Linked DNA regions of Oryctolagus cuniculus. The protein of the gene in region 2 interacts with the protein of the main gene of each other region in a biochemical or structural test. Links are inferred from orthologs where the notes say so. Each region holds a gene or a part of one and is shown on either strand. Other genes may lie near its edges.

Region 1 (4,065 bases), on a different chromosome or scaffold from region 2:
TTCACCCACGTGGGAGAAGAAGCTCCTGGCTCCTGGCTTCGGATCAGCACGGCTCCAGCCGTTGTGGCCGACTGGGGAGTGAACCAGCGGATGGAAGACTCACTCTGTCTCTGCTCTCTGTAACTCTTTCAAATAAATAAATCTTTTTAAGAGAAACTATTTAGTTATTTTTGTTTGACTCGTGATTCAAGGAAGACACACACAGACTGCCAAAACCATTTAATGAGTAAAGAAAAGTTTTGTAAACAAGCGGTGCTAGGACAAGTAGATAACCATATGGAAAAGAATGAGAAAGGACTTACTTCGTACTCATAAAAATTAACTCAAAATGAATCAAAGACTTAAAGTGCGCAAGAGCTAAAACTTAGAAAAAAACCTTGAATTTGACAATGGATTCTTAGATATGACACCAAAAGCAGGAGCCAAAAAAAAAAAAAAAAATACAAAAAAGATTAACTTTGTCAAAATTGAAGACTGTGTACCAAAGGGTCTTCTCAAGATAGCATAGGTAGGGGCTGGTGTTGTGGCATAGCAGATGTGTCAGCATCCCATAGGAGTGCCCATTTGAGCCCTGGCTGCCCCACTGCTAATGTCCTGGGAGAAGCAGCAGAACATGGCCCAAATGCTTGTGCCCCTTCCACCCTTGTACGAGACCCTGAGGAAATTCCTGGCTCCTGGGTTTGGCTTGGTCCAGCCCTGGCCACTGAAGCCACTTGGGGAGTGAATGAGTGGATAGAAGATCTCTGTTTCTTGAGTCTGTGTAAAAAAGAGAATAAAGATGACCCACCGAATGGGAGGAAAATTTGAAAACAGTGTATCTGAGAAGGATCTAGTACTCAGAACAACTCAGAACCCACCTTTAAAATGGGCAGAGAACTTTAATTAATTTATTTGAAAGCTAGAGTTCCAGAGAGCTCAGAGAGAGGTCTTCCATTCGCTGGTTCACTCCCCCATATGGCCACAACTGCAGAAGCTGTGCTGATTTGAAGCCAGGAGCGTCTTCTGGGCCTCCCACGTGGGTGCAGGGACTCGAGGACGTGGGCCATTTTCCACTGGTTTCCCAGGCCATAGCAGAGAGCTGAATCGGAAGTGGCGCACCTGGGTCTCGAACTTGAGTTAACATGGGATGCTGGCGCTTCAGGCCAGGGCGTCAACCCACTGCACCACAGCGTCGGCCTCAAGGCAGGGAACTTTGATTGGATGCTGGCGTCAGACTCCCGCTCTCGCCTGGCGCCTCATTGAAGCCTAAGTACGCCGGGAGGTGTGGCCTGCGGACGAATCACCGCCTACACCCAGAGGCATTTCGGGACTTGTAGTCACACGGACGCAGCGGCTGCGCAGCGGAGCCCCGCCTCCTGGGAGCGAGGACGCGGGAACGTGTGAGGTCACTTCCGGCGTGCCGGGTGGCTTCCTGCGGCGCTTTCTCCCTCACTCTCTTTTTGCTCCCTGCCCGCCGCCATCATGGGTCGCATGCACGCTCCCGGGTGAGTTCGGGGCGGCCGGCCGGATTGCGGGGCTGGGAGGCGAGGGAGAGGACGGGTGATGGTGTGGGCAGCTGACCGAGGGGCGGATGTTCTGAGCTGCTGGGGCACGAGCCACCATTTCACCCGACACTGCTTCTCTTCCTAGGAAGGGCCTGTCCCAGTCCGCTCTGCCCTATCGCCGCAGCGTGCCCACCGTAAGTAGCTCCCGGGGGCCGGGCCCGGGGCCTTGCGCGGCGTTGAGTCGGGAGGGGCTGCTGTGCCGGGACGCGGTCCCGGCCTTCCTGGCCTAACAGGCGCCTTCGCTCCCTTCTACAGTGGCTGAAGCTGACGTCCGACGACGTGAAGGAGCAGATTTACAAACTGGCCAAAAAGGGCCTGACTCCCTCGCAGATCGGTGAGTGCGTGCGTGCAGAGCGGCCCCTTCCGCTTGCTCGTGGGACCGTGGAGGCTGCACGCGCGCTTTGGGGGTGGGGTGCGGTTACTGTTGGGGACTGAGGTTTATTCGTCATTGCGCTCTCCGGCCCCTGGGTAGTAGGTGGTGAAATCGGGAAAATTCCCGACAGAGTCTATGGAGCATCCTCCTGGGTGCCCGATGGCGAGCGCTTTACAAGTTCTGACCGCCGCGAACTGAGGCCGCAGTACTGGTAGTTGTCCCCTAAGGCCCCTTACAGCCGATAGCCCCAGGGTATACAGCCGTGAAGGCGGGTGTCGGTGTTGACTCCAGAATGCTTGACACAAGAGAGCGCCCGCCGTGTGGCCCGTGCAGGTGGCTCCGTTCAGCCGAGGTTCGCCTGCTGCGTGGGGAACATGGCTTCTGGGCCCTTGGATGCCTGCCCTCTTAGAGTGTGGTGGAGGTGTGACACAAAGTACTAGATGATCCAGTAGTCAGGGACTCCCTTGAGGTCTAAAAGGACTAGCAGGGTATGGGAAGCTTTTAGAGAAGAGTGGGTATGAGTTCTCGGGTGTTAGCTGGTTTTAATCACAGGACAAAGACGTGCCAATGCAGGGACCCTGAGTGTTGTGGTCGGCTGTACTCAGCAAGCTCACCGTGATGATGGTCCTCCACCATTCGCAGTTTCCACCAGAAAGGTTTTCCTTAGTGTTGGGTAAACCTTCCTTGGATGTCTGAGTGAGCTCCTGGTACAGGTTTCTGTGGGGACCCCCCCCCCCCCCCCCAGCTTACAAGGGGAGCGAGTTGGTTTCAGAGCCCCGGCGCGCACATCACACGCCGCAGTGTGTTTGGTGCTGGAGTAGAATTCGAGGTCCCCCTTTCAGGTGTGATCCTGAGGGACTCCCACGGCGTGGCGCAGGTGCGCTTCGTGACCGGCAATAAAATCTTGAGGATCCTGAAGTCCAAAGGACTCGCTCCTGATCTTCCCGAGGACCTCTATCACTTAATTAAGAAAGCTGTTGCTGTTCGGAAACACCTGGAGAGGAACAGGAAGGTAAGGAGAGGATGGAAGTCGAACTGGAACTGCTTGGGGACTCGCCACAGTGCTTTCAGCAGCAGCGTTTTCTGTGGTGTCGCCTGTGCAGCTGGTTGTCAGTGTTGGGGAGGTGGGTGTTTGGCTTGCCAGCCATTGCTGTTAGTCTTTCCTAGAAGCCTTAAACTCCCTCAGTAGTCCAGTCTAGCCATTCTGTTCGAGAGCGTTGGGTAACTTCATTAGGAAAAGTGCTCTGTGATTCTGTTCCCTCGCTAGATGAATGTTTGCTAACCTGTTATTTTGAGTGGTTTTCTTAGAGTTGTTTCAAATTTTATTTTTAGGACAAAGATGCCAAATTCCGCCTGATTCTGATAGAGAGCCGAATTCACCGGTTGGCTCGATACTACAAAACCAAGCGGGTCCTCCCCCCCAATTGGAAATAGTAAGTATCTACCTTTCTGTTAATGGGAACGGGAATTAGCCAGATAGTAAGTATTAGCAGCAGAGAAATACTTGAGGCTCTTTGAGCTTGGCCGTGGTAATGGGAAAGCAGCCGTGGGTGGTACGTGAACAGACGGCCTGCCTGTGTCCCATGCCCAACACCGTGGTTTGTATTGTTTGGACTGCAGAAGCCCTGTCGCTTCTTCAGGGTAGTATGTCAGGGCTCGTTTCTCACCTCTGCTTCCAGATGTTAGCGCTGTTTTGATTTCTGCGTGAGGTGCTCTGATCACTGATACCCAGCCATGCACAGCTTTCACCAGAAATGTTTTTCCCAGAGTTGGCCGGTTCTTCCTCGGCTGGCCGAGTGAGCAGTGAGCAGTGTTGAGCTGATTGGGCAGCTCCATCACTTGGTGCCCTTCATATTGATTGACTTTAGCCATTTGGAAAGAGCTCCATTAGCAGGGGTGTGTGTGAATGGATATGGACGACCAGTATTAATCCCTATTTCCCCTTTTTTCCTTTTCAGTGAGTCATCCACAGCCTCTGCCCTGGTGGCATAAATTTGTTTATGCGCTCAAGCAATAAAATCATTGTTTAACTAAAAATGTGTTTTGTGGGTTTTTTTCCTAAAAAAAAAAAACTGTATCACTGATCCATATGTGATTGTTTCTGGTGGGGAGCAGTGAGAATCTTTCATCCCTGGACTGGCCCCTAAA
Region 2 (4,040 bases):
AAAACGGCTAACTGAACAAAGATTTAGTGAATCGAACCTTATAAGGTGCACTGTGGCACTACTGATTTCAAACTACAAAACTTCTAAGTGCAGTTGCAAGCTGTAATTAACTTCATTTACACATACAAACCTACTTTTGCCCTCCCCACACACACCACATATACTGAAAATGGTTTTGCTTCTAAACTTACACCAATCAGTCCACAATTCACATTTTTAAAAGAATCTACCAATGCAACCCTAGAAACTAAAAACAAATCACTGCGCGATTCTGATGCAATATGCGGACGCGGAACACTAATTTTCATTTTAATCTGATCTATACCCTTGATCTAGGGCCTAACAAGATTGAATCGAAATATGCTCAATCTCCAAGCGTCTACTTTTTCGTTCACCTACAAGACCGGATTATCGAGCCCACTAATCCATCAACAGTGTACAGTATTCGGCATTAACGGACAATGGCCCTTAGGAAGAGACCACATACATGCACTACGAAACCAATCAGTGCCTTGACACTTGCAACCAGGCACGAGTTCCGTCTAGCTGAACACACCCTGGGCGGAATACACCCGAAAAGAGACACAAAAATCCATGCTCTGGAAATCTGACCAGGGCTCAACGCTACAGCTACCCCAAACTACGGAACATTTTCGCACTCGTCTACTCCCACGTTATGCGAGTGACAGAAAGGCAGAGAGCTGCCGCTGCAGAAATGGATACAGGTCAAGTCTAAGTCGAATCCATCCTCTTGATATCTCCTTTTGTTTCTGCTAACGATCTCTTTGATGATGGCTGTCATGTCTGGGAGCCTGTGGCTGAAGAAAAAGGAGGAGAGAGATGGCAGAAGCTGCTGGTGGCGGGGCTTCTTCTGTAGAATGGAAATGGCTCTGGACTTGGCGGTAGCTGATGCCCCTCGCTCTGCTGCCGCTTGGCTCTGGACCGCAGCCGGGTAATGGCTGCTGCGGCGGCTGCTGGATGGTTGCAGCGACTGGGCCTGCTTCTCCTCAGCAGCCAGAGGCCTGGCAGCGGCGGCAGCGGAATGGGGAGAAGACGAATAATCCTCGGAACGGCTGCCTCCTCCGGCGGCCTCCGGAGCCCGGGCCAGGGAGAGTGCGGCGGCGGCGGAGGGAAGGTTTAAAACCGGCCCGGGTCCCTGGATGTGCCGCCGCCGCCGCCGCCGTGTTGGAGGCAGTAGAAGGGGAGAGACCAACTCTCCGGCGTTCCCAGCCCTGGAAATGGTGACAGGCGGCTCCGAACCCCTCCCGGGAGCTGCAGCCGCCGCGGCCGCCGCCGCCGCCGCCGCTTCTCCCCCCCGCTCCAGGAGCGGGAGGTGCCGCCGCCGCCGCCGCCGCCGCCGCGCCTCAGCCGGCTCCCGCCTGAGCCCACGGCTTCCACCTTCCCTCGCAAGAAAAGCCGAGGAAGAGGCTGCACGGTTAGAAGAGAAGACGAAGAGGAGGCGAGAAACGCCGCCGCTGCCGCCGCCGCAGGCCGGCCGGCTCCCGGAGGGCGCTGCCCCCGCGGCTGCTCACAGGCGCTGAGAGGGGCTCTGGGCCGCGGCCGCCGCCGTCTCTCATCTCCCTCGCCTGAGCCGGGCCTAGCCTCACAGCGGCTCAACTCTCAAACTTCCATCATGGCTGCAGCTTCCGAGAGGAGAGAACTGAGCGCAGCCGCGTCCCAGCGCCCGGGCGCGTATCCTGCCGCAGTGCACAAAGAGTCCCGCCACATCACCGTCGCCGGCCTGCCCGCCCCCTCCGCCGCCGCCGCCGCGCCGGGAGCCGGGCCGCCTCGGGAGCCCGAGGGGAGGCGGGGGGCGAGCTGGAGGCGGACGGGACCGCGCCGGGGGAGGGGAGGGCTGGGCCGCGCCGGGGTGGGGTGGGGGGCGGGGGCGGCAGCTCCAGGTGCGAGCGCAGGGCCCCCAACCTGCTGGTGCTATTGAGCATGCCCAGTGTGACTGCCTGGGGCTCGCTCGGGCTTGTTCCGAGGCGCCCGCCCGTAGCTGCACTTGCCGCGGCTGCTCCTGCAGCAGCTCGGGGCGGGGGAACGAGCTCAGCCTCGGCCTCTGCCCGGACACCCGGCCGGAGCCAGGGCAGACTGCGGCGGGGCGGCGTGGGGGCGGAGGAAGGTGGATGATGAAAACTGAGACTGGTGCGTTGAGCGGTGTCGCCGACTGCAGTGTGAGGTTACCTGTGCACAGGTGGACCGCGCGGGTCAGTATCTAGGGAAATGCCGCGAGGACACCCCTCCCCCGCCATGGCGTGCGAACGCACGCACTCCGTTTGTCCCGCTGTGGACGATCGCGGCGGTTCGCAGGGATCTCACTGTCGCAGCCTCTGCCTAGAGCGCCCGCGCCGCCGCCGCCGCCGCCGCCCCCGGGTCCTCAAGGTGTCAGCCTCAGCACAAAGAACGACCCCCTATTGTGTCTCCGGCGGCGCGTCTCGCCTCATCCGGCTCCAGTCACCGCCCCACCTCTCGCTGCCCCAGCTACTCGGTTCATTTGCCCGAAAAGCGAAAGCTCTCAGCCGGGCGCGCTAGAGTGCACACGTCGCCCCCCGCCCCGAATTCCCAGGGCCCGAGGGCCTCCTGCCTAGGCCGCCTTAAAGAGGATCCCCGTGAGCGGGACGCACCCCCACAGCTCCCTCCGCGGCCCCCGGAGAGCTGAGCATCTGTCCCCTCAGGCTCCGGGTCCGTTCGCGGCGTCGAACTCGAGCTCGGTCCTCAGAGGCTGCCTCGCCCCGCCCACTCTCCGGGCCGCTGAGAAAACCTGGCACGATGAATCGCCCGCGGCCAGCTTCCGCGCTCGCCGGGCCGGCCGGTGCACGCTGGAGGCCCAGGTTGCCGGCCCGGGCGCGGCGTTCAGGACGGTAGGAAGCGGCAGCCCCGCGAGTGGGCGGGGCGAGGAGCCCTAGGAGGGTTCAAAAGGGGGTGGAAGGATACCCGAGCCACCGTCGGAACTACTTTCAGGAAGGGGTCACGTGTGCTCCGAGTTGGGGAACTTTCCAAATTCCCACTCCTCCAAGCGTAGCTCCGGAGGCAAGTGCTTCGCCAGCTACGCTCGGGGTGCTCCCGCCTGGCGCGGGCAGCACCCCCACACCCTCCCAGGCTGCAGAGGGACGGGGTTGGGGATGGCCAGTGGAGCCTCCACAGGATCGCTGTCTGGGCTAGCTGCTGGGCAGGCACCCCCATCCAAGCACGTGCCCCCGCTCCCGTGCACCGCTGCTCTCACCCTTCTGCTACCCACGGAGTGAGCTCTCTCTGCTGTGGATTGACAAGCACTGCTTGTTCTCAACCGTGGGAAAAGGGGCCGGGCCCGAGGGATCTGGCGCATCTCCCTCGTTGGTTGGGGTGAACCCTCTGGTTCCGTGCTGTCGGGGCCAAAGGCTCGTTCCCGCTGCGCCTGCTGCTTGGATTGCAGGTGTTGCAACAAACTTTTGAGTCGCTACCCCTGCACTGGTGAGCACGCCCCACCTACTGTAGACTCAGCCAAGTGCCTTATCTGGTCTAGTCCTTGGCCGTATGCCCAGAACAAACCTGTCAAGTCTTTCTGCAGCCCCGTGGTTGACCTATCCAGTGAGTGAGCTGGTTCACAAATGCTTAGACCTAGAGCGCCTCCTCAACCCCCTCCCCAAAATACGCACATCAGTCAGCTTCAAAATGAGAAGGGGCGTCAACCAACACCAACCTACGAATTTTTTTTTCTCTCTTTCATTTCCCCCCACTCTCCTCCCACCCCACCCGGCGCCCCGCTCCAGGAAAGTAGAATTCCAGGGGAAAATTTGAGTTCAGAAGTATCTGACTTAGACCAGGCTGAAGCCCTAGGTTGTTTTTTTCTTTTTCTCTTTTTTTCTTTTTTTTTTTTTTTTTTTTTTTTTGACATCTGAGAAAATGGGAATCAGTTGGCACATGTGTTGTGATAAATGGTGAGTAGATACCTAGAAAGGTCTAAAGCCGAGTTTTCTTGTGAGGAAGATTGTAAATGTGCACATCATCATTACAGGCAGCCCCTGAAGACTAGAAACCTCAGGAGGCCCAGCTCAGAG
Region 3 (3,271 bases), on a different chromosome or scaffold from region 2:
CGGGAGCCGGGGACGGGGGCAGGGCAGGGGGGTGTGGTTTTTTGCTCACCCGCCAAACCCACAGGCGCGGGCACCGGGGTGCCCTTCCACTGGCACGGGCCCGGGTATTCGGAGGTCATCTACGGCCGCAAGGTCAGTGCCGTGGGCAGGGGCTGGGCGCGCGGACCCGCGGACCCGGGGTGAGCGTGCGCTTCCCCTCCCCCAGCGCTGGTTCCTGTACCCGCCCGAGAAGACGCCGCAGTTCCACCCCAACGAGACCACGCTGGCCTGGCTCCGGGACACGTACCCAGGCCTGGCCCCGGCCGCGCGGCCGCTCGAGTGCACCATCTCCGCGGGCGAGGTCCGGGCCGGGGCCGGGGCCGGGGCCGGGGCGGGGGAGGCGAGGCCCCCCGCTGACGCCCGCGCCCCTCCCGCAGGTGCTGTACTTCCCGGCCCGCTGGTGGCACGCCACGCTCAACCTGGACACGTGCGTGTTCATCTCCACCTTCCTGGGCTAGCGCTCGTGCTCACGGACTTTATTGCAGGACAGGGGCGGCGCCGGGGCGGGGGCGGGGGCGGGCCTTGCAGGGGCTCAGTAGTCCTCCACCCAGCCGTTCTCCGAGATGAACGCGTCGATGACCTCCTTCATGGCCAGGTTGGGGATGAGCTGCTCCTGGGTCAGGGGGCTCCGGGTCACGGGGTCAAAGTGGCCCACGCGCTGCGGGGACAGCGGGGTCAGCGGCGCGGCGGGGCGGGGCGCCCGGCCGGGCCGCCGCGGCCGCACCCACCTGCAGGTGCTCCTCGATGTCCTTGCGGTCGTAGGTGATGCCGCTGGGGGTGATGCAGGGCTCCCGCATCAGCTCGAAGCTGATCTTGCCGCACAGATAGTCGGGGACGTCGCGCCTCTGCACACAGGGCGCGCTCAGTGGGCGGGCGGCCGGCACCTGCCCACGGGCCCCGCCGACAAGGCTCACCTTTCTCTTCTCGTCCACTTGCGAGAAGAGCTCGTCCATGTCCGCCAAGTACTTGTCCTGGAAGAAGCGAGGGGGCGCTGCCCCGGGGCCGCACACGGCCCTCCCCCGGCCCAGCGCCGCCTGCCCCCGCCGCCCCCGCCGCCCCCGGGGCCCGCGCCCGCCGGCCGGGCCGCCCTCACGTGCTTGGCCTCAATGCAGGCCTGCTGGGCGCGGACGTGGCCGTCGTCCTCGTCCCCCTCGTGGCTCCGCTGGCACTCCTCCAGCTCCCTGCGGGCGAGCGGCCGCGCGTCAGGACCCGCCCCGCCCCGCCCCGCCCCGCCCCGCTGTCAATAAACGCGCGGAGGGGCCCACCTCTCGCGCTCGGCCGCGATGAGCCTGGCGAGGTAGGCGTGCAGCTCGCTCTCCTGGTGGATGCGCCGCTCCTCCAGGCTGTTCCAGCGCTTCTTCTTGGCGATGCGCAGCGCGCTGGGGATGTCGTCGCCGAAGTTGAGCCGCTGCTCCTTGGCCAGGCTGTAGGCTGCGGGCGCGGGGCGCGCGGTCAGCCCGGCCGGCCGCCCGCAGCCGCGCCGCGCGCCCCGCGCCGCGCGCCCACCTCGCTGCAGGTTGGCGATGGCCTCGTCGTAGCTCTCCAGCTCCAGCTGGCACTGGCCCAGGAAGAAGTGCGCCTTCACCGACTGGCCGTCCAGCTCCAGCGCGCGCCGGCAGTCGGCCAGCGCCTGCTCGTGCTGCTGCATCTTCAGGTAGCACAGGGCGCGGTTGGTGTAGTACACCGCCACCAGCGGGTTGCGCGTCTGGGGAGAGCGGGCGGCCGCGCTGTGGGCGTGCGCGCGGGCCGCACCCGCACCGCACCCGCACCCGGGCGGCCGCCGCCGCCGGGGCCGAGTCAAACGCCCCAAGCCGGGGGGCCCCGAAGGGCCGCGCCCCGGCGCCAGGCCCGCCCCCGGCGCGGCGCACTCACGATGGCGCGGCCGTAGCAGGCCGCCGCCTCCGGGTACTTGCGGCCCACGAAGAGCCGGTTGCCCTGCTCCTTGAGCTCCTGCGCGCTCGGGCTCTTCTCGGGGCTGCCGCCGCCGCCCAGCCGCGCGCCGCCCTCCTTCTCCTCCTTGCCCTTCATGGCGCCGCGCGGCACGGCCTGGGCTCCGCTCGCGGGCTCCGCGCCCGGCCGCCCGCAGCCCGCGCCCCGCTCGGCCCGGCCCGGATCGCCGCCACCGGAACTTCCGGCCGCGGGGGGCGGGGTCGCGCGTGCGCGCTGCGGCGGGGTGGGGGCGGGGCCCGCCGCGCGGAGCCTCCGAAGGACCGCCTCCCTGCGGCCGGGCTCCGCCCCTCCGCGCACGCCCCGCCCCCGGCATGGGGGCAGCGGGAGGCCGAGGCGTGCAGCGCGTGCGGGCCCCCGGGGGCGGGCCCCGCCGGCGGAGACGACCCAGGACGCCCTGACCCGCAGCTGAGTACGGCCTCAGCTGCCGCAGCCGCCCGGGCACCCTGTGCGGCCCGTGAGGCAGCGTCCGCACAGGTGGGAGCGACCCCGCCGGCGCCGCCCCCTCGGCATGGGCGGTGGGACACCGTGCCTGACCGGCCCCAGCCTGGCCCCCTCCCCCACGGCGTGCAGGCCGAACTCGTGGGCCAGGACACCCACCGCCTGTCCCCTGGGGCCGCAGCCCAGTCCCTTCGTAGATGGGAGGGCCCCGCACGGTCCGCGGGAAGCGGGGGGCAGAGACGCCTCCAGACCCCGGACAGCCACCTGGTGCCGTGTAAAATATTTATTCACTCTGCAAAAGGCGCGGACCGCGGACCCGGGGGCGGGGCGGGGGCAGGGCCTCCCCTGTGCCCAGGAGGCGGTCAGGGCGGCGGGGGGACGTGGGCGCCCAGCAGGTCGTAGGCAAAGACGTTCCAGAAGACGGCGAAGAGCAGGAAGGTGCCGTAGGCCAGCAGGACCACCCACCAGCCGCACTGGTCCCGCAGGCGCTCCTCGTAGCTGCGTAGGATGGTGAGGCCCATGCTCACGCCCACCACGGCGCCCGCCAGGTGCGCCATGAAGCTGGGCTGCGGGCCCGAGGCGGGCAGCGGCGGCGAGAAGCGCAGCCACACGGCGCGGCCCACCTCCGAGCTCACTGCGGAGGGAGGCGGCAGGTGGGCGGCGCCCCGCCCGCGGGCCCGCCCCGCCCGCCCCGCCCCTACTCACTGCACACCAGGGCCAGCACCATCCGCAGCAGCTTGTAGGGACACCGCATCCCAGCCCAGTTCTGAGGGGCGCGGAGAGGCCGTGAGACAGGCCCGCGGCGCCCGCCCCGCCCCCCGCGGGCGCCCATTACCATGACGAC

The links.
Region 1: the proteins of PTEN (region 2) and RPS13 form a complex in vitro, tested with the Homo sapiens proteins (2 studies listed by BioGRID). The link is inferred for Oryctolagus cuniculus from reciprocal best matches to the Homo sapiens genes PTEN and RPS13.
Region 3: the proteins of PTEN (region 2) and STUB1 form a complex in vitro, tested with the Homo sapiens proteins (2 studies listed by BioGRID, with this or other methods). The link is inferred for Oryctolagus cuniculus from reciprocal best matches to the Homo sapiens genes PTEN and STUB1.

The regions. Positions count from the first base shown.
Region 1 is NC_091432.1:49,244,795-49,248,859, forward strand, and holds RPS13 (small ribosomal subunit protein uS15), read left to right. Parts: upstream 1-1,265; 5' UTR 1,266-1,461; coding exon 1,462-1,484; intron 1,485-1,629; coding exon 1,630-1,678; intron 1,679-1,799; coding exon 1,800-1,878; intron 1,879-2,527; exon of another isoform or gene 2,528-2,617; intron 2,618-2,759; coding exon 2,760-2,929; intron 2,930-3,249; coding exon 3,250-3,350; intron 3,351-3,875; coding exon 3,876-3,909; 3' UTR 3,910-3,954; downstream 3,955-4,065.
Region 2 is NC_091446.1:42,814,300-42,818,339, forward strand, and holds the start of PTEN (phosphatidylinositol 3,4,5-trisphosphate 3-phosphatase and dual-specificity protein phosphatase PTEN), read right to left. Parts: upstream 2,801-4,040; 5' UTR 2,800-2,800; coding exon of another isoform or gene 2,773-2,799; 5' UTR 2,256-2,772; coding exon 2,188-2,255; intron 1,729-2,187; exon of another isoform or gene 819-1,728; coding exon 724-818; intron 561-723; exon of another isoform or gene 1-560. UniProt on the Homo sapiens protein: Dual-specificity protein phosphatase, dephosphorylating tyrosine-, serine- and threonine-phosphorylated proteins.
Region 3 is NC_091450.1:34,026,459-34,029,729, forward strand, and holds STUB1 (E3 ubiquitin-protein ligase CHIP), read right to left. Parts: upstream 2,068-3,271; coding exon 1,912-2,067; intron 1,745-1,911; coding exon 1,546-1,744; intron 1,471-1,545; coding exon 1,305-1,470; exon of another isoform or gene 1,221-1,304; coding exon 1,133-1,220; exon of another isoform or gene 1,011-1,132; coding exon 768-1,010; exon of another isoform or gene 698-767; coding exon 572-697; 3' UTR 501-571; downstream 1-500. Other genes in the region: JMJD8 (jmjC domain-containing protein 8), read left to right, coding at 65-132, 206-340, 417-497; RHBDL1 (rhomboid-related protein 1), read right to left, coding at 2,407-3,061, 3,133-3,193, 3,263-3,271. UniProt on the Homo sapiens protein: E3 ubiquitin-protein ligase which targets misfolded chaperone substrates towards proteasomal degradation.